4 linked regions of the Notamacropus eugenii genome follow. The protein of the gene in region 3 interacts with the protein of the main gene of each other region in a pairwise test. Links are inferred from orthologs where the notes say so. Each region holds a gene or a part of one and is shown on either strand. Other genes may lie near its edges. The genes, in order: PRPF38A, C1H1orf35, SDCBP2 and TNP1.

Region 1 (7,861 bases), on a different chromosome or scaffold from region 3:
CCTCCAACCTCTTACCATCTGTGTCCTTTCTACATACCCCAAGGTCAGGCTTTAGTGCCCTTTCTGGCTACTATCTAAAGCCCTTCAGTGGCTACCAAGTGCTTGGAGAAATGATAATGATAACAATGATAATTATAACAGCTAGTATTTACAGAGCACTGTGCTAAGTGCTATACAAATAAACTCTCCTATTCATTATCACCATTTTATAGTTAAAGAAACTAAGGCAGAAAGAGGTGAAGTGATTTGCCCAAAGTCACACAGCTAGGACCTGCATGAGGAAGGATTTCAGCCCAGGTCCTCTCCTGACTCCAGGCTCAGCATGCTCCTGAACTACAGATTCCACTAGTACTAAAGGCCTTCTGCTTCTAGCCCCAATCTACCTTTTTCAGCCGGACTTCACACTCTACCACCCCGCCCCACTACACTACTACCTGTTCTCTGCAGCCTGAAGCTGCTATGCTTTGAACCCTGACTCACTGGGGGAAACCTCTCCTGGCCTCAGTTTCTCCCACTGTAAAACAAAAAGGTCAAGCTAGATGCTTTCTGAGTCCCCTTCCAACTCTGACATTTTGGGATAACAGCTTGAAAAATTGTTCTGCTCAGGGGCATTGGCATGGGGGTCAGGAGTCAGAAGAGTGCTGCTAAAAACATGACACTCCTGGTATCTGGGCAGCGGCAGTGGGGTTGGTTTAGGCCGTGAGACACAGCAGTCAAAGGGACCTGGAGTTAGGAAGACCAGGGTTCTTCATTTATTAACTGAGAGATGACAGACAAGTGACAATCTCTCATCTCAATTTCCTCATCTATAAAATGGGGATAATCCTACCTCCAGCAGCTGCCTCCCAGGAGATGCTATGTAATACATTTAGCAAACTTTAAAATACCATTAAGTGGCAGTTATGATTACTATATTGTGAAGGGGCCCTTGTGACCTTTCCGATCACATCGGCGGACAATGTTATTATCACCATCTCTGCATATGGCCCTGCCCTAAAGGCCTGACCAGGCCCCAAGAAATGTTTTCTCCCTTCAACATACAAACACTTCCGGGCAAGTCATTCAAAATAAGATAATGTTACAGCTGGGGGAAGAACCTTAGAATATAAGATGTTAAACTTGGGAAGGATTTCAGTTCAGGGAAGAACTGGGAAGTACCAATGCAAACACACACTTACTCTGCCTTCTGAATCTGAAAGAGCTGCCTTGGCATTCATTCAAGAAGCAGTGACTGATTTCAAGCCATGTGCCAGGCACAAGGTACTAGGGAAGCAGAGGCAAAAATGAAGTAGTCCCTCATCTCTCTTTAAACACAATATGCCAGGCATGTAAAACAAAACTGAAACGTGCAGCTCTCAAAGAAAGGATTTCTTACCAAGGAAGGCAACATGTATCCATAGAAGCAAAAACTAAATACAAGGTAACTGTTGGAGAGAAGACGCTGGCAGCCGAGGAGGGAGGATCCAGAAACGGCTTTGTGTAGGAGGTGGCAGCTGAGCTGAGCTTTGAAAGAAAAGATGGATTCTGAGAGGTCAAAAACAGCAAGACCAGTCTGGCTGACCCACGGCATTTAAATGCCAGAATGTGTCTTTGGCCTTAGAAAAAGCAGGGACCCCCTGAAATGTACTGCGCAGGCGCAGCCCCACCTGTTTCAGCCAAATCCCTTCCCGGGTCTTGGGCAGCCTTCCAAGCCGCAACAAGGCTTTGTCAGTTTCGTTCAATGTTGCACCTTTGTAGCGACCTCACCCAGAGCTCTGCTCCCCGGGCCAGGGTCAAGGACAGCGACCAAAGGAGGATCAAGAGGCAACGCTCTGGGCAGAAGGGGCTGAGTGCCCTCTGCTCCGGGGACCCCACCAACACAACAACCTTGCTGACTTCCCTGCACACCCACTGCTCACCCCACTCTAAGTCCTCGAGGACGGGGGCGGCTCGGACTTCCTAGGCCTAGCATTAAGCACAGCGCTTAACAAATAAAAGCTTAATAGACGTTCGCTCGGCCACATCACCCACGGACAGGCAGCTCCGAGTCTGTCCTCCCCCACCCCGTTCTTGGCCGTGCCCGGCCGGGGCCAGGCACCAGGGACCCCGACGTTCTCCACTATGGTCCAAGCTAGCTCACCCTGGACGTGAACAGGAGCCGGCCGGGAGCAGAGGAGAATCTGGGGTGGGAGAGCCCGGGTTCAATCCTGCCTCGAACGCTTCCTACCTGCGTGCGGCTTTCCAAATATGAAAGAGGGGGCAGGAAGACACGGTCACTTAGTGAGTATCTACTCCGTGCTGCAGGTATGCTGGTGAGGAAGGTAAAAAGGCCTCCCGAAGCCCCTCTCTCAATCAGGCAAACATTTCCGACGCCTTCCCTAGTTCGGCTCGAGAGAAAGGGACTCAGAAACGCAAGGGACCGTTACAGTCCAAAAGTCAGGGTAGGCTACGAGCTCCAAGGGTTCTGTCTGAACTCCTCCCCGGCCGGGGAGCTCACATCCTCCCTGGGCGGCTCGAGACGCGCCGGGGAGATGTCCGGAGCCCCAGCCGCAGCCGCTCACCTGTGAGTCCAAAACACTCCTCCTTCCAGTACTTGGACTCGTAGATTCGGGTCCGGATGATCTTCTCCACCAGGTACTGCGGGTTGGTGCCGTGGATGCTGTGAGCATCCTTCACCGTCCGATTCGCCATCTTGGGAAGCCCTTGGCGCCGCCTCTGCAGCCCTTCCGGCGGGCACTTTCTGCGTCACTTCCGCACGAGCCAAGCCGGGGGAAGCGGGGGGGGGGGGGGGGGAAGCGGGGGCGAAAGCGTCTCGGCGCGGCCGATGACGTCACCGAGGCGGCCACTTTGAAACCGGGCACGCGCCGCGACCGCGACGCCTCTACCTTCCCAAACGCGGCTTCGTAATAATGACGTAACTAGAAACAAGAGCGGAGGGGGGAGACGTAGGGGGCGGAGCGCCTGGACGGCGAACGACCTTTTGAATCTGGGAGGGGTGGAAGAGGGAGGGGGAGAGGCGGAGACAAAAGTCCCGATCCGTACGCAGGAGGGAGGAGAAAGGGGGCGGGCCTTGCGTGACGCGAGGGGCGGGGCCACTCTTTTTTGGCGCGAATTTTTTTTTATTTCAAGCTTCTCTCGGGTGCTGGCGGTGGCCAGGAGGCGAGCAGCGCGCACGCGGAGCGGCGGAGGAAGCCGGAGGGTGAGCCTGGGGGGCCGGGGCCTCCGGGGTGGGGGGGAGCTGGGGGCGAGGCCCCCTCCTTTACACGCGGGGAAACTGAGGCTTGGGCGGCGGGCCGGGCTCGGAAGCGGGGGAGGGGGCTGGCCGAACTGGGGCGGGAAGGGGCCTCCCGTACTGCCCTGCCCCCTCCGGAGCCCGGAGCCCCCCACTCTATGGCGAGGAGCGATCTGCCCCACCCCCACCGCCTTCCTGGGGGCCTCAGGGGCCCGGGTGGGGGAGGGGCTGGTCCTTATCGCAGACCGCAGCTGCCCCGGGAGGCCCGTCTGGGGCCCGCCCTCGGGGTCACCTGAGCCTCCGCATCTGTCTGAGGGGGACGTGGCCCTGGGTCCTCCTCACCGCCCCCTCCCCCAGGGAATTAGGGGCGCCCCGAGCCTTCTCCCGAGCCACTGCCCTTCGCCCTGCGAAGTACCCTCCACTTCCCGGCCTGTGGTCTTGGTTGGATTTAGCGGGCATCCGCTGAGTGCCTGGCCTCGTGGAGATCCTGCCCGGTGGGGGGGTCGGGGTTAAAGGAGGGTTCCTGCCATTTCAGCCTGCTTCAGGCTGATCTTGCCAAGTCTGCGAGACCTTCCTCCCTCCCGTCCCCCTGCTGGGGATGCAGCTACTGTTTCTCCCCCATTTCATTTGAAACCCAGTTAGGGAGCCCTGAGCGCAGAAAGCCAAGGAACTTAGGGGCTTGTGGAAAAGAGCAGGCCCATCGTGGCCAGCAGGAAGCCCAGCCCTCGCTTTGCTGAAAGGATGGATGCCTTGGGGCACTAGATGGGGAAGAGATCTCTGCCAGGCCCTGGGACAGCTTCCTTCTGGCTAAACCTCTAAAAAGTCCAGGCTCCAGTATGGTAGGACAGCTTCTGGCCCAGTGCGGGAGCCTGGGCAAGTGGCTCAAACTTGCTGGCATCCAGGGTGGGGAGAAATGCCCCCTCAAGAGTTCCCCATGCTAGTCCAGGACATGCTCTCCACCCGAATCCTGCTTACTTCTGCACTCCCCACTCAGGACCAAAAGCCATGAGGAACAACTATTTCACAAGGCTCAAGGCCAAACGAAGTTATTCATGGCTCAACTGTGAATTCCGTGACAGGAAACTTCGTCACAATCTCTACAGGTAAGTGATTCAACTCAGCAGGTTCCCAGGCCATGGGTCTGCTTATTGGCACCCAGCCCCCTGAGGTGGGGCTTTCCTGCCATCATGATATTCTGGAGCCATTTAACAGTATTTAGGGTGTGGTCTCTGTGGGGCCTAGGCTTTTCACTGGCTGAGAAGAGTCCCAGCTTTTAGGAAGCGCCTCCTGTGTGCCAGGCACTGTGCTGAGCACTGGGGATACAAGGAAAGACCAAAGACAGTCCGTGCCCTCTAGGGGCTCAGTCTAATAGGGGACACAACCTGCCAACAGTGTGCAGATAGTGTATAGACAGATTGCATGGCGAGGGGGGTTCATCTCAGGAAGGACGCTAAGATGAGGCTCTTCCCAGGTCCTTTTTCTAAAGATGAGACTTAAGCTGAGATATGAAGAAGGCCAGGAGGAGGAAAGTTCTCTTTTTAAAAAACAAATTTGTATCTGTTTGGAGCGTATTTTTGGGGGGTGAGTGTGCACCATCCTTGCTGTTTGTTGTTCACCTCTCCAGACAGCAAGAGAGGCTGGGCCCTATTCCTGGTATGCCAGGAGAGGAGGGTCTTAGAGGCCAGCCTCTGTGATCTGGGGCCCCCCAGTCCACCTCTGCTCCTCTCCTCATCACCCTGGGCACACTTCCCTGGGAATCCTTTTCTGTTCTGGAGATTTGTTGAGTGGGAGGTAGATCTGTGAGGCTTGACTAGTGAGCTCCCTTATCTGGCCTGAGGGTCTTGGTGACTTGATTTCCCTGTACTCTGGGCCACTTGATCCCTGCATTTGCTTTGCAGAAGTATTTGTGTGACATCTCCAAGCAGCAATGTCAAAGTCCAGATCAATGTAGGGGACTTCATACTTGTGGAGTGCAATGATGATGATAACCCATATATCGCTAAGCTGATCAAGCTCTCCAGGGATGGTGAGTTCCCCTGGGAAATGCAGGGCAGGGGCAGGGCTCTGTCCCTAACACCAGGATATTGTAGCTGGGAGGGGCCAAGCCCACCAACTCCCCCGCAAGAGGAAGGCTTATAAACTAGGGGATAATGACTCCTGAGACTTGGTCTCTCGGTCCTTGAAAAGGGAGAGAAAAGACCACCAGGAGCTGGGGCTTAGAGTCAAGAAAAGGGGATGGGTTGGAAAGCAAAGAGCAAATAGAGAGGTTACCAGCTATATACATCTAGTATATTACAGGATGTACATAGGATTGTATTTGAAATGAAAGGCTTAGGCTAAGTAATTTATGAAGTCTTCTCCAGCTCTCATTGTTGTTGGTCAGTCGTGTCTGATGCTCTCATGACCGCATTTGGGATTTTCTTGACAAAGATAGTGGTTTGCCATTTCATTCTCCAGTTCATTTTACGGATGAGGAAACTGAGGCAAATGGGTGAAGTGACTTGCCCAGGGTTGCACAACTAGTGAGTATCTGAGGTTGGATCTGAATTCATGCAGATGGGTCTTCCCGACTCTAAGCCCAGCGCTGTCCATTGAGCCACCAAACTGCCCTTTTTCCAGCTCTAATAGTCTGTAGTCCAATAAGTTGACTGAAATGGTTTGATTGATTATAAGACTGCTGATCATTGAAAAGGGAGGACTGTAAAAAGGGAAAACAAGTCATTTACTTTTAATCAGCTGACTCAGTAGTCCAAAGTGGGCTAGATGGAGTCAGGAAGTCCTGACTTCAGATCTGGCCTCTGACAGTAACTCTGGGACCTGTTTCCTCATCTGTGTAATGGGGAGAAGAAATTGCTGTATGTGTCTAGACCGAGGAGAAAAGTTGAGGGCTGGATGAGTAAACTCAAGCAGTTATAGTCCTAGAAAAGAGGGAGGAGAGGAGGGGATAAGGCCAGCTGTGTCCCTCTTACCTTGTGGGGACATTCTCTGGGAGGACCTAGAATAAGGCAGGTAAGAGACAGAAAGCTAATGAAGGGAGCTGTTAAATAGCCATCAACCTGCAGGCGGTAAATGGCAGCACCAGGATGGGAAAGGGGCCTTTGGACATGAGTGGCTTTGGCAAAGGTCCCTTCCTGGAGGTGGAGGTGGTCCAGGAGAAAGTCAGGGGTAAGGAGCAGCCCCTGTGGGGGGACTACCAGGAGGACACAGGAGTAGAGGCGTGAAGGGAGAACAGGGGATGCTGAGAGTCAATCCAAGGGAAGCTTGGTCCCCAAGAAGAAGAATGGCTGAGGAGGGAAATGATTTTAAATGGAACAGTGTAGGCAGAATCCCCTAGGGGACCTGGAACGTCTTAGAGAATGGCCATGGCATTGGGAGGGGTGCCCACAAAACAGCCGCGTGAGATTTGTGAGAGCCTGACAGTAGTGAGCAGCTAGCAGCAGCAGGGTAAGTGCATCCCTTTGTTCTGGCTGAGGTGAGCCTTTTATGTCCTGACAGTGTTTGGTGGCTCTTGTTTTCTTTGAGGACTGGTCTCAATTGTTTCTGATCTTGGACTTCGGGTCATTTGCATGGCTTATTTAGACACCTATATGCCTGTGGTTGTACTAAACATCCTGTGGTGGTCACCCTGCCCAGACAGGCAGACTGGTGAAACTAGTGACCCTCTCTCAGAATCACCTTCTTAAGTGCCTAAAATATAGTTATTAAAATGTTTTTGAAAAACAAGGGCCCCAAGCTAAGACCCTTTGGTAGATGGCAGCTCTCTCCCATCTGACTTTTGAGGAAGTGAAGGTTTGGAGAGGTTTTGTGACTTCTACAGCAACCCACAAGGAATGATTGACTGAGCTGGGGCTCACCCCAAGGTTTTCTGACTCTTGAAGTGCTAGGTTATCAGAAGGAAGAATAGTTCCCCAAGGAGCCGTTGGCTCTGCCAGACATCACAAAGGGTGCCTGTGTTTCTCTTCTCTTCCTGCTCAGTCTCTTCATTAGAGTCTGAGGCTAACTCGCATGCTGTGGTCCAGTGGTTCATTCGCTTGAGTGAGATCTCCGTCAGCAAGCGCAAGCTGCTTGGCCGAGAGGCTGCCGAACAGGAGATCTTCTGGTACGATGACCCGCCGAAGGACATTCAGGTTGAGACCATCCTCGGTCCAGTTCAGGTGAGTAGTTCTCTAAGTTTTCCTCTCTGCCTCCCTTGTGTCCTGGAGAAGCTTGACCAGTGTTGTTGTGTTGCTCCCATCATCACTTGGGCCTCCTGGGAAATGTGAAAGATGGCGGAGTCATTGGACGTTACCGTGTGAGTTTGGCTTTGCCAAGTCACAGTGTGTGAGGTGGAGGGCAGTGTTAGTTTACAGATATGCACCTTGTGCTGTCCTAAGCTACCAGGCCTCAGGTGGGCTGAGCTGACCTGACCCTTGCTGCTCCTGGTATCCCAGCTAGTCGAAGGGAAGAAACCAGAAGAAAGGCTGGAGATCATTCAACCAGCCACTTGTGGTAGAGAGGATAGGGCTCTGTGAAAGGAGGGATGGGAGGGAGCCCTCACCCAACTGGGGCCAAGGATGCCTTTGTGAAGCTGCGAGACAAGTGGGGTCCTCAGTGGTTCTTCACGTGTCCTTTCAGGTCATGGGCTCCATCCACATATGTGCATTTGTCCTG
Region 2 (7,288 bases), about 420 Mb from region 3:
CTCTCCTAGTTTAATGTAATCTGAACATCTGATGAGCATGCCATCTACACTTTCCTCCAAATAGATCACCGCTTTTCTGACAGGCAGCGGGCTCATCAACCAGGAAGAATTATTATCAACAACATCCTCATCATCTCACGTTTCTACTATGCTTTACCAACAAGAGCCCCGTGAGTTAGATACTGCAAGGATTTTTTAGCCTAATTTCACAGGAAGAAGCTGAGGCTCAGAGAGGGTAAGATGACATTAGAATGCAAGTTCTTGGCCATTAGGGATTGTTTCATTATTTGTTATGTGCATTCCCCAGGGCAGGGTACAAGTAAGTGCTTAATTGTTCCTGCTCATGAACAGAAGCTTACTCAAACCCATGCCTTGCTCCAGTATCTCCCAAGCTGCTCTTTATTCTTCTCACTGTACCTGACTGCTTCAGTTCATTCTATCTTCTCACAAACAAAAGAGAAAACAAGAAGACCATTTCCCATATCTTTCTCCTGACATCAACTCTTCCTTCTCGAGGATAAATGACCCAGAGAGAAACTATGGACAAAGTTTAGGGCCCATCTCTCTGTAGATGGCCAGCTCCCTAGCTCTACCACCCCTGTAGCTCTACCATCCCCTTCTAGGGAAGAGGAAGGAGAGATGACTAGAGACACTCTCTGTTCAGCCTTCCCATAAGGGAAGAATTCTGAACTTCTAAGAGACTGAGTATCCAAGCTAGAATTGGAGGAAAGAACAGCCAAAGGTTGGGAAAGCAGCCTGATGCCTGAAAGAGTCTGCGATAGACAGCAGGAGATCTGCTCTCTGGTCCTGACTCTTCCATGGACTCAATATCACCTTGGCCAATTAATTACCTTTCCCTCTTTGGACCAGTATCACCTGTAAAAGGAGCGGGATGAGTGAGGTGGTGTCAAAAATTCCTTCCAGCTCTAACATGCTATAATTCTACATTCTGAGATCCATTCTAATGTCCCATGACATTAGACCTCTGTCGTCTCAAAGAGCTCCTTGTCCAATATGGGAAACAAAGTCTTTGCTAACATGGAGCACCCTGTGTGAAGACTGAGGCACTATCCCAACTGACCAGTTCTTCAATGTCCTCCTCTGATCTGAAATGCTAACAGTCACAGACTGGGTAGTATCAGAGACAGAAAGTGCCTTCTGAGCAGAGGACATCTGAACTGAAAGAGACCTAAGAGATCACCTGGCCCAACGCATATTTTACAGATGAGGAAACCAAGACTGAGGGAGAAATCACTCGTAGGATCACAGATTTAGAGCTGGAAATGACCTCAGGTCATCAAGTCTAATCCTCCTCATTTCTACAGAGGAGGAAACAAGTCCCGAGAGATAAAATGACTTGTACAGGTCACACACGTGGTGAATGGAAGAGCTGGGATTGAAACCCAAGTTCCACGACATTTTCTAGGGTCTGGAAGGGCTTCACTGACTTGTCCGAGGTCACAGGGAATCCAGGAGCTAGTAATGGAAAGGAGGCTGAATGGGGAGGAGGGTGGCCTGGGCTTGCATCCGGGCTCTGCCCGGGTCCAGCTCTGCGACCTCAGCCAAATCCAATGTTTTTTCTCCCAAAAATAAAAACATAAATGAAAAAACCCTTTCACAAAGTGACTGAGGAAAGCATTTTGCAAGCCTCAGCCATAACTCCCATTCATACAGCCCTGTGAAGTTTTCAAAGCACACGACACACCAAGTCCAGTTAGTGCGGGCGGCGGTCACAGAGCAGGGAGCTGGCCCCGGGCGGTCGGGGAGGTCTGGGCCGTGGGCGAGCCGGTAAAACTGGGATAACCACAGCACCTGCTGGTGTCCTGCAGATCCAGAGGTCAGCAATCTTTAAAGCGTTATGTCCATTATTAGACATCCCCTCTGTCCCCGATTCAGCCAGTCTTGGGCCTTGGCAGCCCATGGGCGGCCCCCTCCCTTCACACCTCGGACGTCACCCCTCAGTTCTCTCGCTGCATGCCTCCTCGGCTCACTCCACTCCCCGTTCCCCACACGTGCCGCTGCAGATCCCGCCCCCCTCACTCCACCTATTAGGCCTCAGATGCACTCCCTCAAGCTCCGCCCCAGACTCCCCTCCTATAAAGCCCGAGGCATGCCTCCTCAAGACCCCCCCCATCTCCTAACAGAGCCCAGGCACGCCCAAGTCCCTCCCCTAGCTTTCTCTCCTATCAGAGCCCAGGCACGCTCCCTTAAGTCCCACCCCTAGCCTTCTCTCCTATCAGACTCCAAGGCACGCTATCTCAAACCCCACCCCTCTCCTATCAGGCTCTAGACGCGCTCTTGCAAGTCTCACTTCCACCTCTCAGGCCCCAAACGCACTCCCGCAAACCCCGCCCTCACCCTCCTCTCCTATCAGGTTCCAGGCACGCTCCCTCAAGTCCCGCCCCCACCCTTCTCCTATCAGGATGCAGGCATGCTTCTTCAAGTCCCGCCCCTATCCACTCTCCTATCAGGCTCCAGGTACGCTCCTTCAAGTCCCGCCCCCAGCCCTCTCTCCTATCAGGCTCCAGGTACGCTCCCTCAAATCTTACCCCTTTCCTATCAGGCTCTAGACGTGCTTTTGCAAGCCCTGCTCCCGCCTTTCAGGCCCCAGGCGCATTCCCGCAAGCCCCGCCCCCACACTACACTCCTATCAGGCCCCAGGCGCGCTCCCGCAAGCCCCACCCTGCCCCCAACCCCCTCCTCTCGGGCCCCCCAGGAGGGCTCCTGCAGGCTCCGCCCCTAACCCCCCTCAGGCCATGGCACCCCCCCCCCCCACACACACACCTCGAGTTCGTCCCTTCAGCTCTTCAGGACCAGGGACCCCAGCGTGGCCCGTGGCCCGTCCGGCTCCAGACCCTCTTGGACCGCAGGCTCCTCGACCCAGGCCCAGCTTGGCTCACCAAGTTTCGCAGTCTGCCGGGAGGCTCTTCCGCCGCGGCACAATAAGGGGGGGGGGGGAACAGGCCACAGCGGAGCGGGCACAGGAGAACGCCCGCCGTTACAGCCCCAGCCGGAGTGGGCGGAGCCGCGGCCGGAAGGCCCGCCTTCCCCCGCCCCTCTCTTTCCTCGATCCTCTTTCCCGCGGGGGCGGGGATGGAGAAGGAGTTGGCAAGGTCCTGCGGTTCCGTCGGTCACCGCCGGGAGGCGCTGCGGGGCCGGGCCTCGCAGCCTACAGAGGGCGCTTTCACGCCTCGCCGCCTCGGCTCCGCGCCACGTTCACGGGCAGTCCGAGCAGGCCTGCCTCCTTCCCGTTCTTCAGAGGGGGAACTGAGGCGGAGGCCCTTGAGCGCCGCCTTCCCGGGGACCGCCCAGGCGGGGGGCGGGGACCGCCCAGGCCAAGGGGGGGGCGGGGGGCGGGGACCGCCCAGGCCAAGGGGGGGGCGGGGGGCGGGGACCGCCCAGGCCAAGGGGGGGGCGGGGGGCGGGGACCGCCCAGGCCGGGGGGCGGGGACCGCCCAGGCTGGGGGGGGCGGGGGGCCGGGGACCGCCCAGGCGGGGGGCGGGGACCGCCCAGGCTGGGGGGGGGGGCCGGGGGGCGGGGACCCGCTCAGGCTGGGGGGGGGCGGGGGGCCGGGGACCGCCCAGGCTGGGGGGGGCGGGGAGCGGGGGGCCGGGGGCCGGGGACCGCCCAGGCCGGGGCGGGGGGGGGGTAGAGGGCGGGGGGCGGGGACCGCCCAGGCTGGGGGGGCCGGGGGGCGGGGACCCGCTCAGGCTGGGGGGGGCGGGGGGCGGGGGGCCGGGGACCGCCCAGGCTGGGGGGCCGAGGGGCGGGGACCCGCTCAGGCCGGGGGGCGGGGGGCCGGGGACCGCCCAGGCTGGGGGGGCCGGGGGGCGGGGACCCGCTCAGGCGGGGGGGCCGAGGGGCGGGGACCAGCCCGGCCTCGTCCTCCAGCCCGACTCCTGGAGGAGCGCCGCTCACACCTGCTTCATATGGCAGCCTCTCTTTGCGCCCTGGCTTCCCCCCTCCTCGGTGCCAAGGCCGGGGCACCTCCTCCGTCCGCGGCGGGTCTCCTCCCAGGGGCTCCACGGCCCCTCGAGGCACTGTGTGGGGCTGGGGATGCGGCGCCTTCGTGCACACGAGGACTCCTGGAGCTAACCTGGAAGGGCACTAGGGAATGAGGCACAGCCAGGGCAAAGACCTGGAGATGGGAGAAACAGGAAGATCAGTTTGGCTGGAAAGGTAAGCTGGGGTCTGGGGGTGAAGGCCTTCGCAGTGTCGGATCCCACGGGCAGTAGGGAGCTGTGGGGAGGACTCCGCGCAAGGAGGTGGCGAGGGCCTCGAGGCCACCTGTGGACCTCCAGGTCCTCGAGTGCTGCCCTGCCATTGGAGCCACCTTCATAGAACAAATCCTTCTGTAAAACTTGGACTCGGTCAAAGGGCTGCACCCGAGGACCTAGAACACGTGGCCTCGAGGCCACCCCTGGGGAGAGGCTTGAGGCAAAGGCCAGTTGGAAGGCTGTGTTTGAGATCTGATTAGATATGGGGGGTTGCCAACCTGGGTGACTGGCAGAATGACGGTGCCCTGCACAGAAGTGGCGGGGGATGGAGGGTATAGGATAACGTGGTCCAACTGGAGACTCCTGAGGAGGAGCCGGCGGTGCAGCTGGGCAAAGGTCCAAGGGCTGGAGACATGGTTCATGTGTTTAACCTGTGGGCACTAAGGGTATCTAAGGGTATCACAGGGAGAGCATGTAAAGAGTGAAGACTCAGGACAGAATTCTGGCAGGCCAGGGGCACAGGGGAGAATCAGGAAGATGGAAGAGGGGGGACAGTATTCAGGAGGAAAGGGTGGTCTGTAGTGATAAATGCTAAAGGGGTGAAACAAGTGAGATATGAGGGAAAAGCACTAGATTTGTCGATTACAAGATGATCAGTCACTTTGGGAAGGGCAGTTATGGTTCCCATACAAAGAAACTGGGCTGGACAAGGCTAAGGATCCCCTCACTGGTTCCCTTGAATGTGGTCCTTTTGTCACAAATTTAGAATCTGAGGCCACAGAGCCACCTGTTCTCTGCTTTTTGTTTCATTTTTTTAATTAATTATTTTCAGTTTTCAACACTCACTCCTTAAGATTTTGAGTTCCAAATTTTCTCCTCCCTCCTCCCCCTATCCCAAGATGGTGCGCAGTCTGATACAGGCTCCCCATATACATTCCTATTAAACATATTTTCACATTGATCATGTTGTAAAGAAGGACTAGAACCAATAATTGGGAACCACGTGAAAGAAGAAACAAAAAGAGAGTGCACAGCCTGCTTCGATCTGCATTCAGACTCCACAGTTCTTTCTCGGATGTGGTGGCATTTTCCATCAGGAGTCTTGGATCCCTGCACTGTTGAGAAGAGCCAAGTCTGTCAACAGTGGTCATCGAACAACACTGCTGTTCCTGTGCCCAGCGTTCTCCTGGGTCAGTTTGCTTCACTCTGCATCAGTTCATGCAAGTCCAGGTTTTCCTGAAATCCGCCTGTTCATCATTTCTTATGGAACAATAATATTCTATTACGTTCAGATACCACAGCTTGTTCAGACATTCCCCAATTGATGGGCATCCCCTCAATTTCCAATTTTTGCCACCACAAAAAGAGCTGCTATAAATATTTTTGTACACGTGACTCCTTTTCCCATTTTTGTAATCTCTTTGGAACAGAGATCTAGAAATGGTATTGTGGGTCAAAGGGTATGCATTTTTGTGTCCCTTTGGGCACAGTTCCAAACTGCTCTCCAGAATGGTTGGATCAGCTCACAGTTCCACCAACAATGCATTAGTGTTCCGATTTTCCCTCATCTTCTCTAACATTTATCACCTTCCTGTTTTGTCACGTTAGCCAATCTGATAGGTGTAGTGTGGTACCTCAGAGATGTTTTGATTTGCATCTCTCCAGTCAATAGTGATTTACAGCATTTTTTCATGACTATAGAGAGCTTTAATTTCTTTCTCTGAAAACTTTGACCATTTATCAACGAGGGAATGACTTGTATTCTTATAAATTTGACTCAATTCTCTATATATTTTAGAAATGAGGCCTTTATCAAAGACATTGTAAACATTGTTTCCCATTTTCTGCTTCCCTTCTAATCTTGGTTGCATTGGCTTTGTGCACTTTTTGGTTCATTTGAAGCATGGGATTTCTGACATGGAAGGCAGTGTAGGCTAGTGCTAGATTTAGAAGTAGTTAACTTAGGTTTAAATCCCTGCTGCTGCTTACTCCCTTCTGGTCTGTGTGACACAGACTCTCTGGGACTTGGTTTCCTCATCTCCAGTGATGAGATTGGTCTAGATCAGGTTTTAAACACACTCTAGGAGGCACAACACTCCCAACAGAGCACTGTCTGAACGGGATCAAAATGTAATTGGGAAGATGTTTAATCAAATAAATAAAAATACAATAGAACACAGATAATGTTGGTGTGTGACTTTCTAAGTTAATGTAAAGATCTTCAGAGATCCTTATGTACAACTTCATGGCTCCCATTTCTACTTGAGTTGGAGACCATTAACATTCCTTCTAGCTCTCAATCAATGATCCAGTGATAAATCGATCAGAAAATGTTGACTGGAAAACAAGTACTCTTTGGCTGTGAGCGCATGCATGACCCGACAGGAAGCCCTTCACACCCCTCCAGGTCAGTCAGTGTGGCCTCCATGGGTGTTGCCAGTCCCAGAACAAGCCATGCTCGTTCTTGTTTGCTTCTGTGCTGCTCCTCCCTGTGATCTCTTCCCTCCCCTTTTTAAAAAATCATTGACAATCTTTATTTTTGAATGAATGAATGCAAAAACATTTATTAAGTACTTGCTATGTGCAAACACGGTGCTAAAAGCTGGAGATAGAAATACAAAAAGGAGCTTATTTCTAATGGGAGAGCCAATACGCATAAGAGGGTATGGTGGCTAAGGATGGAATTTTGATCTGGAAGGTAGAAGAGATGATGAGTGGAGAGAAAGGGGGGTCATTGACACACTTTCTAATAGGAATGGTAGTACTGATTATGATTCCAGAGCTGGAAGGAGGGAGTGAGGGAGGCAGGGTGGGTTGCTACAGTGTAAAGTGAAACAAGGAGGGATATAATGAAGCATTCACCGGTCAGAACAGTGGGGCCACAGGACAAGAGTATGGTTTCTGGCCCAGTTTGGAGGCTGGCAGGGCTGATGGCAAGATGGCCAGGGTGTTCTCAACTTTCCCCACTGATTGAATCCATCCCTGAAGTCAGTCATTAAACACTTATTAAGTACCTATTATGTGCCAAGCAGTAGGGGTACAGAAAGAGGCAAAAGACAGTCTTTGTTTT
Region 3 (7,274 bases):
CCCAAAGTCAGCCAGCAAATTAGTGACTCCTGACTGCCAGTCCAGAGCTCTTTCTACCACACCCTCTATAAGCACCTGCTAATGAAAGGCATTTCCCAGAGATACCGAGCTACTGGGTCCTTTGAGGTTAAGTAAAACCAAGGAATTTAGCACACAGTAGCTGCTTTGAATACCATTCAGGGGCTGGGAGAGGTGGGAGCATTCAGGAAGGTTGGAGCTTGGAGGAAATGTTGGTATGACTGAAAAAAAATTCCTTTAAAGAGTCTCCACAATGTACTCCTGAATTCGAAGCTGGAAGGCCCTCAGATCATCTATTCAAAAGTCTGAAACAGGAAGGACCTTGCTCATAGTAAAATTCATAGCAGAGATTCTAATATCCTTGGAATCTAGAATTCCCAAATCCCTCAGATATAAAAGCTACTTGCAGATTGGGCCCTCTAATTCACTTCTCTTTGAACTCTCTTTCTCTCTCATTTCCTATCCCCCCAACTCCATATCCAATCTGTTGCCATGGCAACAGTTCTCTCTCAATGCCCCCTTCTTTCCTCTGACACTGCCCCCAGCCTGGTGCTGGCCCTCCTCACCACACACCCGGATTATTGAAGAAGGCTTATGGCTGATTTCCCTTCCACAAGTCTCTCCCTACTCAGCTGTCAAAGAGATCTTCCCAAACTGCAGGTCTAACCAGATTACCAGGTCACCCTGTTACGCGATATCCTTCAATGGCTCCCTATCATCTCCAAGATCAACTGTAAAATTCTGTTTGGTGTTCAAAGCCTTTCACAACTAGTCTCCTCTCCCCCAACCTTTCCAGAAGACTTATACCTTACACCTTACCTTCCCACATACTCTGAGATCCAGCAACACTGGCTTCCTTGTTATTCTTCTAACCGGAAACTTCATCTCCCTGTTGACTCAGTCTAGATTGTTTTTGTTTCAGTCATGTCTGACTCTCTGTGACCCCATTTGGGTTTTTTTTGGCAAAGTGGTTTTCCATTTCCATCTCTAGCTCATTTTACAGATGAGAAAACTGAGGTAAATAGAGTTAAGTGAGTTGCCCCCCGTCACAAAGCTAGTAAATGTCTAAGGCCAAAATTGAATTCAGCTCTTCTTGACTCCAGGTCCAGTGCTCTATCCACAGAGCCACCTTGCTGTCCTTCATCTCCTACTCTGGTCATTTTTACTGGCTAAGGTGTTGGCTATGGAAGGGGGATGGGGATGTCAGAAGAAGCCTAATTAAATGGAGAGTTATAGGAGAAGTTGTGACAAGGTCATGTGTGTATTCATCATCATCCCTGAAACCACATGAATGGGAAAAAGACAGAGACAGAGAGATATGGGTAGAGGGTAGCACAATAGAGACACAGAATGAGACGGAGGCAGAGGTATTCCTAGGTAGGAAACAACTGGTTTCTCAAAATGAAATGAGATTTGAAAAAAAAAAAAGGGAAAAAAAGCTCACCAGGGTTTGTTTATCGTCATCTTGATTAAAATGTTAACAAAAAAAATTCCATTATCAAAAAAAAGCCCATAGCTCCAGATTGTATGAGGGTGGGGAAAGATCCCTGGCCAGAGTCAGGAACCCTGGCTTCTGGTCCTCATTATGTCACTGATTCTGGATGACCTTCCTTTTTCTGAACCTCAGTGCTGTCATCTGCAAAATGGGGGGGACTGGGCTACATGAGCCTCCAGCTTTGACTTTCGGGGAATCCTTTTCTTTTTTTCAAATGAAATAGAGCCTTCTCACACAGCGGGGAGAAACGTCACAGGCAAGGGGGAGCCACAGGAAACAGGCTGCTCTGGGCCTTTGGAGAGGTGAGGGGGTGGAGGCAGTGGATTCCAAGCAGCTCTAGCAGAGAGGAAAACCCATTAGAGGACATCGGAGTGCCGGCAGAGAAGCGCGGGCCATTTGGGGCTAATGGAAAGAGGTCTTGGCTCCAGCCAGCCCTTTGCTTCCACTGGGGCCCCTGGCCCCGACGCCTTCAAGGCAAAGTACCCTGTTCTGGAGCCAGGGAAGCAGAACACAGCGAAGAAACAGACGGTATCAGTGCCCACTCTCACCACGTTATTAATGTTTAATCCCCAGGATTCACATTTCATCCTGGCGCTGGAGGCTGGCTAGCTGCCATTCAGAGCCCCTTTACTACATTACCTCCGGAATCCTCACCCCCAGGAGGGGAGCACTGAGGCAGGATTGAGTGTACTGGATGGTGGGAGGCGGAGAGACAAAAAAGAAAAAGAACCAATGGGTCAGAGGAGAATTCGCAGAGAGGACCACAGCGCAGCTCTGTCCTTCGCGGGGAGAAGGGGGTGCGCTGTGGGCACCCTAAGGAGACCTGATCAAATAATGCCAGAGAGGGGGAGGGGAGAGAGAGGCAGCAAAGAGAGCAAAAAGAAAGGGGCAGGGGAGGGAGAGGAAATGGGCGGAGGAAAGAGAGCAAGAGGAATGGGGAGATAGGAAAAGGGGGAGGGAGAGCAGAAGGAAATGGGGAGACAGCAAGAGGAATGGGGAAGGGCATGAGTAAAAGGAGAGATAGAGGAAGGAGAGCAGGAGATATAAAAAGGAGAAAAGAAGGGGAAGCTGAGTGAAAAGAGGAAGGAGGAGGAGGGAGAGGAGAAAAAAGGAGGATGGAGAGGGAGAACTGGAGAAAAAGAGGGGAGGGAGAAAGGAGAGGGAGATCAGGGGAAAACTAAGAAAGGAAAGAACGAGAATGGGAGAAGGGAGAAAGGGAAGGAGAGACAAAAGAGGGGAAGAGAAAAAGGAAAGAAGTCAGATAAGAGGAAAAAAAGAGGAGGAGGGAGAAAAGAAAAGGAGACCAAGAGGAGGAAAAAAAAGGGAAGGTTCTTCAGCCATCAAATCACCCTTTCAGTCAAAGTTAAGCAACTTGCTGTTGGTGGGTCTTTAAATGACCAGAGTTTTCCTAAGGGTGCTTACCTGAAGACTCGAGGCTGGCACTAGTCTACTCCTCTGCTCTCCTGTTCCCAGGAAGGTCTGTCCTCCTCTCAGGAAGTCTCTACGCTTTATTTTTCCAGCTGAAGTTCCTCCTGGATGCTTGCCCTCAGTTGGGAGGGGCTGGCCTGGCTCTACCCACAGCTGATTTATGACTTGCTCTGGGGAGGGGCCCTTGGATGCCACAGGTAAAGGCTAGTTGTCAAATCACTTTCTGAATGATGTTCCAATTTTAACTCTCAGGGGTGTAATGAGATTAGATCTAATCTTGGAGTACAGGATAGGCAAAGGGGAGATGGGATTGCTTTGAGTTGTGTAGTCTAGGGCAAGACATAGCTTCTGTTTATCAGTTTCCTTCTCTGTAAAATCATAAAATAGAATAAAAGATCTTTAAGGTTCTTTCCAGCTCTCAGTATGTATTCTGTATTTTGTTTTGAGATCTCATCTTTTCCAAGAGCTCAGAATTTAGAATGGATCAAACTGGAATTTGGTCAGTAAAATGTCCCTCTTTTCCTCTTCATGATGTTGACTTCTGTCTTACTCACTCAGAGCATGGTATAGGACTTCATTGGAAATGTCAAAGTTCAAGGACCTGGGCACACCCATTGATGGATCACTAGCTGGCTGACGTAAGGAAGGGACAAGCCCATGTTAGATATGAATAGCTGAGCTACCTGTCACATAGGACATTGGCCAATTCAAAAACTAAGTGACCATTGTGGTGATGAAATTTATACCTCAGGAACCATGAAGGTCCTATTGAGTGTGGACATCAGTAATTTTAATTCAACAAGTATTTGATAAAGTCCTCCTTGGGGGCCTAACACTGTGGGACAGACATGGGAAGGAGAAGCTTGTCTTAATGAGCATCCTGTCTTCTTGTTGAGGAGTTGACAACTTAGACACAAAATAATTACAGAAAAATATAAGCCATACATAAGCTAGGTTGAACCCCCTTCATAATGAAGAAATTGGACTAGAAGAAGGTCTTTAAGGTTCTTCCCAACTTTGATGCTCTGTAGCTTAGGTTCTAAAGGCCCCTTTAACTCTGCTGTTCTAGGCTCTTCATTTCCTCACCTCTGCTTCTGAGAATACCGAGCTTCCTTCAAAGCTTATGTGAGGCCTTTCATGATCTGCTTGACTGTTAGTGTCTTTGCTTCCTCCACAAATTATGTTGTATTTATGAGCTGTAAAGACACACATACATCTCTTGTGTATAATATATATATATACACACACACATATATGTGTGTGCATGCATATATAGGCTTATATACATACATGTTTATATAGACATATATGGGAATGTATAATATTGTATATGTGTTTTAGCATGTGTATATTATATATGTATGTGTATGTGTGTAGAGATAGATAGATAATCTCCCTGATGGAATAAAAGGTCTTAGAAGGTAGGGACTGTCTCATTTTTATTATTTCATCTCCAGGGTTACCACAGTGCCTGGCAGCAGTGGGTATTATAAAAAATGCTTACTGTTTAATTAATGATTCATTTCTAAATTGTATATCATAGAATCCTGGCCTTATCCCTTAGTTGAGGTCTCCTCTGATAAGCAAAAGTGGAAAATTAAGACAACTATCTTTATTATTTGAACACGCAGAGTGCAATGCAGTAGAAGACACTGAGATGGGAGCCAGGAGACCAGGTTTCTGGTTCTGACTGTACTATAAACTTTCTGTATGTATTTGGCCAAAGCAACTTCCCTCCTCTGGGCTTCTATTTCCTTCTGGTTCTAACATTCAATTAATCTAATAAATAAGCCCTCTATCCTCAGTTATCTCAGGTCAATGCAATCCCCACTGTCCTATGTATCATGTCCCAGATAAAATCCGTGAGAGGAAGGACTTTGTCTCATCTCATCTAAATTTTGTACCTCCCGATTTCCTGGCACAGTATTCTGAGTCGAAGTGCTAAATAAATGTTTGTTGAGTGAGTCTGGTTGTGTCAGTGAGAAGATCAAGGCAGACACAAGATGTTAGGACTAGTTATCCAAATTTTTGATCTCTGCTTTGTGATGACTGTGGGGATGTGACCGTGAGCAGGTGAATATGACTGATGCCAGTTATTGATTTTTGGCTTGAACCTGGCTTTATACTGCCCAGTCAAGTAATGGTAAATCTTTATTGGGTACCAAATGTGTGTAAAGTCCTATATTGGGTCTTATAGGGAACACAAGAGAAAGAGGAAATATATTCCTGCTCCTATCTAAACTCAAGTTGAAGAGAACTTATAGTCTTAGTAAGGAAATATGACATACTCTGTGGAGTCATAAAGCCTTAGTCCAACCGCCTCGTTTTTTGGAGGAGAAAATGGACAGAGAGGGGGAAGTGACTTACCTAGAGTGAGTTAGTGACAGAGGTAGACCTAGAAACCAAGTGTCCCCTTGCTAGACCAGGACTTTTCCATTGAAACAGGTTATAATAATTCAAGGCAGTCTCTGCTCCAGTAAATAATGAGGGACACAGGCAGTCAGGGCTGTAGGAACTCAGAGGAGAGAAATCCCCAAGGTCTGGAGTAACTGAGGGAGGCACGGCATAGTCACTTACACTGGAGGGGTAGGAGAGAACCTGAGAGTAGACAAGATAAAGCATGAGCCTTCAATGAACATTTCATTGGCTACTCGTTGCCTGCCAAGTAAAATGCCTTAGCCTGCCATTCAATCTGATTTTATATTTTTATGTATATGTGTATGTATTTTTATGTATGTACATGTATATATGTATATTTACGTGTCTAATATATACTTTGCACATTATATTTATATGTTACATAATATTTATATTATTAATTTTATATTTATGTTATATTTATAATTATGTAAGTATATTACGTTATTTATATGTTTTTATATAATACATGGTTATATTTTTTTACATATATTATATATCTAATTTTTATTTTGAGTCCATATGCCCCAATGTTCCCCCTCAGACATTCTATACTCTCAACAAATTCTGTTTCTTGCCATACCCCAAATATGCCCTATTTCTGGAATGTACCTTTTCTTTTCAACTCTGTTGTTAATTGACTGATTGATTGTTGATGTCCTATGCATCATTCAAGGCCCAGTTTAAATGCCACTTCCTCAAGAAAGCCTTTACCTACACTGTTCCATGATCAGTGTGCAGGTAGTATGTTCACACCCTCTGTGCTTAGTCACAGGGATTTTATTGGGACTTAACCTAAAAATCTGGAGTGAGTCAGAGTCAAAGCCAGAAGTAGAACCAGGGAGATCTGATGTCCCACGGTCCCTTGCATCCCACTCAACCTCCAACCAGAGCAAACTCCCAAATGACTGAGTCTAAACTCATCTCTAAAAGAAACAATTGAGCTATATCTGATCACATAGTACCTACTGATAATGACCCAGTTTCAGCCAAATTCATCCCCAGGGCAGCGTGGTATAATGGAAAGAACATCTAAGGAGGAGTCAAGAAACCTAGGAGTTAATTCTAATGCCGCTGCTAACTCACTGTGTCATCTTGGGCAAGTCATTTGGCTTCTCAAAATGGGATAGTTAACATATGAAAGAATGTTCCAAATCACTAATGGTAAGAGAAATTCAGACAGCTCTACCTTATGCCCAAGAAGTTGACAAAAGAGAATAGGGCAGCTAGGTGGCGCCATAGTGCACAGAGTGCTGGACCTGGAGTTAAGAAGACTCATCTTCCTGAGTTCAAATCCAGCCTCAGACACTTACTAGTTGTGTGACCCTGGGTAAGTTACTTAACCCTGTTTGCCTCAGTTTCCTCATCTGTAAAATGAGCTGGAGAAGGAAATGACAAACCGCACCAGTATCTTTGCCAAGAAAATCCCAAATGAGATCACAACTGAATTGACAGAACAAGGGGAATAGTCAATATTGCAGAGATTGTGGAAACACAGACACACTAAAGCATTGTTGGTTGAACTGTGAAATGGGGCAACCAACTTGCAAAGCAATTTGGAATTAGGTAAATAAAGTGGCTAAAATGCCCAAACTCTTTGACCAAGAGATTCTACTGCTAGGCATATACGTGGAGGTCAATAACAACATGAAAGACTTAGGTGCACCAAAATATTTATAACATCACCTTTTGCGGAAGCAAATAACTGGAAACAAAGTAGAAGCTCATCATTAGAACATGCATTCCTGAGCCAAATGGTGGCTCATGAACGGAATGGAATGCTATTGTACATATAAAGAAATGATGCATGTGATGAATACGAAGAAGCCTAGACTGACATTAACCAATGCAAAGTAAAGACAGCCAGAAAAGCAATATACAAGACAACTACAATGTTGTGAATGGCAAGAACTGT
Region 4 (5,723 bases), on a different chromosome or scaffold from region 3:
GAGTCTCTCCTGAGCAAGTATTTATAACACAACAAACAGGGGAGAATATAAGTTTTGTTGACTTGTGGCTTCTCAGGATGGAAGACGTTTCTCCTTGGAAATTTACACGAGCATTATAAAGGAATGAAGTTGTATTTGAAAACTAAACTGTGGGGGTCACGTGTAAAATTTGTGTGTTTTGCATGTATGTTCAATGGCAAAAAGCTATCTATCACTTTTCTCAAACTTTTTTCTTGTGCCTTGGGAGCACAACATGTGAGATCTTGATCTGAAGAGCAGGGAGACTTTTTAGGAGTGTGGCTTCATCCTGTTACTACTGGAATTTTTATAATATTCCTTTTCTCTTAATGTTACTGTTACTACCTGACTGCCTCCTTTCAATAATGCCTAGGGGTGGCTGGGCTTGGACTGGGAAACTTTGAAAAGGCTATAAAACATTAACCCCATCCCTCCCCCCCAGCCCGTAGAGAGGTTCATCAGAGCAACGAAAAATTGTCATGACTTTTTTTTTTTTACACCAGGTTTCTAAATTTTATTGAGATGTTGGGGGAAAAATGCCTTCTTATCCATTTCCTCACTTCCTCAAGCCTGGATTTTTCCCAAATTCAATATGTTTCCTTTTTTTTCCTTCTCTGATCGAACCACCTCTGGTTGCCCTGGCAGACCCCCTGTTCTTTTTCACTGCGGACTGATGTTGCTAAGAAGTCCAGCAGCTCTGAGCTCTTGGTGGAATCACAAGTTGGAACGGTAAGTCCTGTGAGCTGTGAGGAAGGACAGAGATAGGGGTGGGTTTTTGTTCCTGAAACCTGCTGCATCCTAATTATAACCTTCCAACTATTGGTCATGTCAACTGTGGACATTTTTTTTTTTTTTGTGGGACAGACATTTATAAAGCTCTCAAAGTCAGATTCAGGTGGACCATGAGAGAATTTAAAAGATCTGAAACCTGAAAAAATTCAAGTTGATGACAACTCAAAAGTCTTGTCTGGAGCTTTTATATAAGGTTAACTCTTTATTTTACAAAGCGTTTTTCCCTCACAAGAACCCCTTTACAAGAGTTATGAATACCTTCAATTTACAGATGAGGAAACTGAGGCACACAAGTAAGAACTTACCTTTCCATGATCACACACATCTTGGTAAATGGCAGAGACAGGACTCATGGGGAGGTGTTCTCATGACCCCCCCCCCCAAGGGGTCCAGGGGGGCTCTTCCTACTAACACCACCCTGCCTCCAAGTGTATTAGAAGGGATTTTTCTGCATTGGTTAAGGGGTGGACTTTAGAGATGTGGCCTTTGAAGTCCCTTTCTGGGGGGTTCTAGGAAACTCCTCTTCCTCCTCACCCCCATACTCACCTTCCTCACTTCTCTTTCTGCTCTTCAGCCCAGCCTTCCGGTATTTCCTTTTAGCTCCAGCTCTTTTGACCCCCTTGTGAGGAGATCTGCTCTTGTTTCTCCTCCCGCCTCGGCTTTTCATTCTCCTGTTGGTAGACATGTTGCTAGCTGCCAGAGTCCGGGGGCTTTGAAAAGCCCAAAGGCCAGGGGCTGGTCTATTTAACCCTTTGGCCATTATGAGGTGGAAGAGGGTGTGGCCCCATTGTGAGACCCTACCTTTATGGGCTTTGGACCTTATATGGGAAAAAGAGTGGGGCTTTTTTTCATTATCATGACTCAGGACCTCTCCAAATGAGGAAGTCATTTCCATATAAGAGATAAACTCAAATCAACTATTTATTATTTGGCAGGTCCCTAATTTCCCAGGAGACATAAGAGAAATTATTTATATTTTGATTGGGGGATATACATGTAGAATGTGGTCCAGAAAGAGGCTAGAAAGACCTTCCTATATCCCTGAAAAAAAGGGTTCTTCATTTTTTGCATATCATGACATCTTTGGCAGTCTAGTGAAGTCTATGAACCTTCTATCTAAATAATGTTTTTAATGAGGTAAAGCAAAAATGCATAGAATTACAAAGGAAATCAATTATTTTGTAATACAGTGATGAAAACTATAAATTAAAAAAAGTTCATCTTAAAAGATCAGGTCATACACACATGAAAAAAAAGATCTCTACTTCCTTACAAAGAATTTCCACTTTAATGTTTCCTCTCATTTTTAACTTAGGTCCTAAAATGAACAGCTCTTCCTTCTTATCAACTCTCTCTTCCCTGTTGATTATTGTCTTTGAACTGTTTCCTTTAGTAGAGTTTCTTATTTTTCCTAATTCCTACATTGTTTAATTGTTTCAGTCATGTCTGACTCTTCTTGACCCCATTTGGGTGTCTTTTTGGCAAAGATGCTGGAGTGGTTTGCCATTTCCTTCTCTAGCTAATTCCTACCTAGTTATCACCCACCTAGTTCAGATTCATGGTCTCCCATCACGCCAAGAATGCTCCTTCCTGGCTGCCTTTGTTAACCTGGTTCATCCAGGTGTGCCTTCTCTCTAATATGACCTGTATATTTCTGCCAGATTAATCTAAAATATTGCTTTCATCTGCTCACTGACTGCAGCATAAATCTCAATGGTTCTCCACTGCCTCAAGGATAATACTCAGTCTGTATTATTACTCTCAAACTCTTCTGATTTTGAAAACTTTTCTTCTCAGTCCTGGTGGAGAACCAGGTCCTGAACTGATTATATTGCCTTCAAACTCTTTCCTTTAGATGTGACAGAAGTCGATCTTCTCAAACACTGCTTTCGTAGATTTAGATATAAACAATCAATGGCCCTCTCCATTCCTTCAAAGATAATAGTCCTACATTTGATTTTTAGAAGGTCCCTGCTTCACTATATGTTTCATGGAGGCTGTTCTCATCTCACAGAACCACAAAGTGTCAGGGTTTGAAGGGATCCCAGAGATTGTGAAATATAATGTTCTCATTTCACAAAGGAGGAAGCTGAGACCTACCGAAGTGAAGGAACTCAACCAAGGTCATAAAGAACATACTAATGGCAGCGCCAATGCTAATATTTGGGGCTCTTGCCTATGTCTTTTATTCCTTCCCAGAGGTGATGTATTTCTTCTGTGTCCCCCAAAGTGCCAGAGTACCTAGGGTGTCCTCAGCGCGTAACTTGTTGATGATTGATAAACTTATTGGTTGTTTTCAGAATAAAATTAAAGTTCCTATTCCTTCAAATTTTCCTAAAGAGATTCGTGGATTTTTTTTTTTGCTTCCATCAACCCTACATATACATATATATGTGTGCATGTGTGTATATTTATGTTTACATACACACATGTATATGTATGTATATACACACATGCATATATTTATGTGTATGTACACACTATATATGTACATATATATACATGTACATACACACATATGTACATACAGACATAGATATATCTATCATATATATTATATTATATATCTATATATTATATAGATACCTATTTTTCTATATTTTATGTAGTAATTCCCACCCTATTCCATTCCATTGTAGAATGTAAATACTTTTTGAGAGCAGGAAACATCACTGTTTTTAATACAAAGAAATTTCCAGTACTCCAGGGCTAGAGGGGTGTCATGCACATAATAGTAGCTAATACTGAATAAGTAAACCAAGTGCTAGATAAGGGAGTTCATATCTTAAAGATATATGTAAACCCATTTTAGTTAGTATTACAAGTTCAGAGATGAGAGAGATCAACTTAGACTGGATTAATCAGGGAAAGAATATGTTCAAGGTGGCTCTTGAACTTGAGTAGTCCGGTTGGACTGGATTATGGGTAGATTATGTGAAGTTAAACCAGAAAGGTAGATTGGAAACAGATTATAGAGGACCTTTGATGCCAGGATTTTATTTAATAGGTAGTTGGAATCAGATGAAGGCTTTTGAATGAAAGAATAATAACATTAAGTGAGGAGGATGACAGGTGCAAAAGGGAGAACTGTTGGAAATTGATGAAGATGATGATGATGATAAAATAAGATTGATCCAGCAGATATAAAAAGCCTTGAAGGTTAGATAAGGAAATCTTGATTTAAAAATGTTGACTCCTCATTCCTCACCTCCTATCATTTTTCTTCTTCTTTGCTATTTTATAACTGGAAAGCAGACGATGGTAAAATACAGTGGCCAAAGAACTGGTCTGAGAATCAAATAGATCTAAGCTGCATTATTCTAGGAAAGACAGGTATCCTTCAGGGCTCTCAGACAGCTTTCCAAGACCATACAGTACTGGGAGAGAAGATATCAATTGCTTTGGAGGAGGTAATTTCCTCATTAAGAGTTCCTCATACTAATAACACAGCAGACAATTTCTAAATAAACAAACCCAGAAAACTCACCCACATCCCCAGGAGTCCTTCAAGCTTAAGAAAGGTTAATCCTTAGAAATGAAGTCAGAGGTCATCTAGTCCCATCTATAACTAGGCATTCTCAGCTTATTCCTAAAACATCTCCCAATAAATTGTTTTCCAAACTTGAAAACTAGACTCTCCAAGAATCTCCATGTTGCTCCAGGACCCTTCTCTTGGTGATGATTCAAGAAGGTATTGTAGACTGGTGTTTGCCATCAGTCTTGAATACAACTTCTTAAAGGGAAGAATTGATGATTTGTATTTTTCCACCCTGGCACCCTCACAGTACTTAGCACTGTGTTAACCAAATTAGCTGGTTCTCAGGAGAAAAAAATCCATTGATTGTTCCCTCCATAGATGTGTTAAGGCAGAGAGATTTTTGTATTCAATATTCATGTTTCTCTCAAGCTATTTAGAAACATGTCACATTTTCCTCTATTGTTTTGCTCACAAAACACGGCTCTCCTCAAGACCAGGGTTCTATCTTTATGACATGGATGGAACCATTCATATTTTGTCAGAGAATTAATGTTTGGTTCCCCCAGATTAATAATACATATAGGGGATGTGAAAACATGACAAAGAACTTTCATTTTCCCTTTTCCACCCCCTGTTCTGTCTTTGTGCAGCCATAGTTGGAAACAGGATTGGAAAAGGGAAAAGCTTTGACTGTCATCAGAATTGATTAGCCTTTTGACTAAGCATTCCTGGTCATAGATTTTGTCACACCCTCTTCTTCAAGTTAAAATTGAGAATGAAGAGTTGGGGTGGGAGGAGTAATTTTACATATATTGGGGGTTAGGTGACATTCTTTCTAAATGGAGAAGGCCAGCCTAACTTGGAGTAATAAACTTTCCTCTTCCCAAAGGCTTTGCTTCCTAAAAATCCTCAAAGGAATTCATTTTGAAGGATTAAAAGGCATTCATTTTCTCTGATGGCTACAGAGGCAGGATGATATTTCTTTCCCCATGATGACCCCTCCTACCCCCAATGGATTGATCTTGCCAAGGAGAAGCTGAGATCATCTGGGGGAAAAAAGCCAGGCCTAGGAAACTTGTTGGGAAAAAAAAAAAACAAAGAAAAAGAAAAGTCCCCTTTGCATAGTCTGGGAGCATAACCCCTCCTCAACCCTAAAACAAGAAACTTGAGTAGACAGAAAGCCCAATGGGGGTGTGTGTGTGAGTCAGAAACAAAGGGTGCGGTCAATAGGGGTGTTTAGGTTGGACAAAATGTCTGGACTCATGGGGCTAGGAAGGATCAAATGCCCAATGATCAGACCTGTTCCTTTCTTCAACTAACTGTACCACAGTATAGAGAAAGCCAGTGATAAGTTAGGTATGGTTTGGAGAGGCCACATATGATCCTAAGAGGGCCTGGAGGTATCTGTCTAGGGAGCATAGCCAACTCTGAATTC

Evidence for each region.
Region 1: the proteins of SDCBP2 (region 3) and PRPF38A interact in binary tests that used the Homo sapiens proteins (3 or more experiments, as listed by UniProt). The two-hybrid records come from large-scale screens. The link is inferred for Notamacropus eugenii from reciprocal best matches to the Homo sapiens genes SDCBP2 and PRPF38A.
Region 2: the proteins of SDCBP2 (region 3) and C1H1orf35 interact in binary tests that used the Homo sapiens proteins (3 or more experiments, as listed by UniProt). The two-hybrid records come from large-scale screens. The link is inferred for Notamacropus eugenii from reciprocal best matches to the Homo sapiens genes SDCBP2 and C1orf35.
Region 4: the proteins of SDCBP2 (region 3) and TNP1 interact in binary tests that used the Homo sapiens proteins (3 or more experiments, as listed by UniProt). The two-hybrid records come from large-scale screens. The link is inferred for Notamacropus eugenii from reciprocal best matches to the Homo sapiens genes SDCBP2 and TNP1.

What each region holds. Positions count from the first base shown.
Region 1 is NC_092873.1:512,530,472-512,538,332, reverse strand, and holds the start of PRPF38A (pre-mRNA-splicing factor 38A), read right to left. Parts: upstream 3,004-7,861; 5' UTR 2,671-3,003; coding exon 2,541-2,670; exon of another isoform or gene 2,207-2,540; intron 1,504-2,206; exon of another isoform or gene 1,376-1,503; intron 1-1,375. UniProt on the Homo sapiens protein: Involved in pre-mRNA splicing as a component of the spliceosome.
Region 2 is NC_092872.1:9,916,933-9,924,220, reverse strand, and holds the start of C1H1orf35 (multiple myeloma tumor-associated protein 2), read right to left. Parts: upstream 3,022-7,288; 5' UTR 2,785-3,021; intron 1-2,784.
Region 3 is NC_092872.1:432,994,929-433,002,202, forward strand, and holds the start of SDCBP2 (syntenin-2), read right to left. Parts: upstream 3,023-7,274; 5' UTR 2,936-3,022; intron 1-2,935.
Region 4 is NC_092877.1:315,186,321-315,192,043, forward strand, and holds TNP1 (spermatid nuclear transition protein 1), read right to left. Parts: upstream 1,541-5,723; 5' UTR 1,496-1,540; coding exon 1,357-1,495; intron 762-1,356; coding exon 733-761; 3' UTR 503-732; downstream 1-502. UniProt on the Homo sapiens protein: Plays a key role in the replacement of histones to protamine in the elongating spermatids of mammals.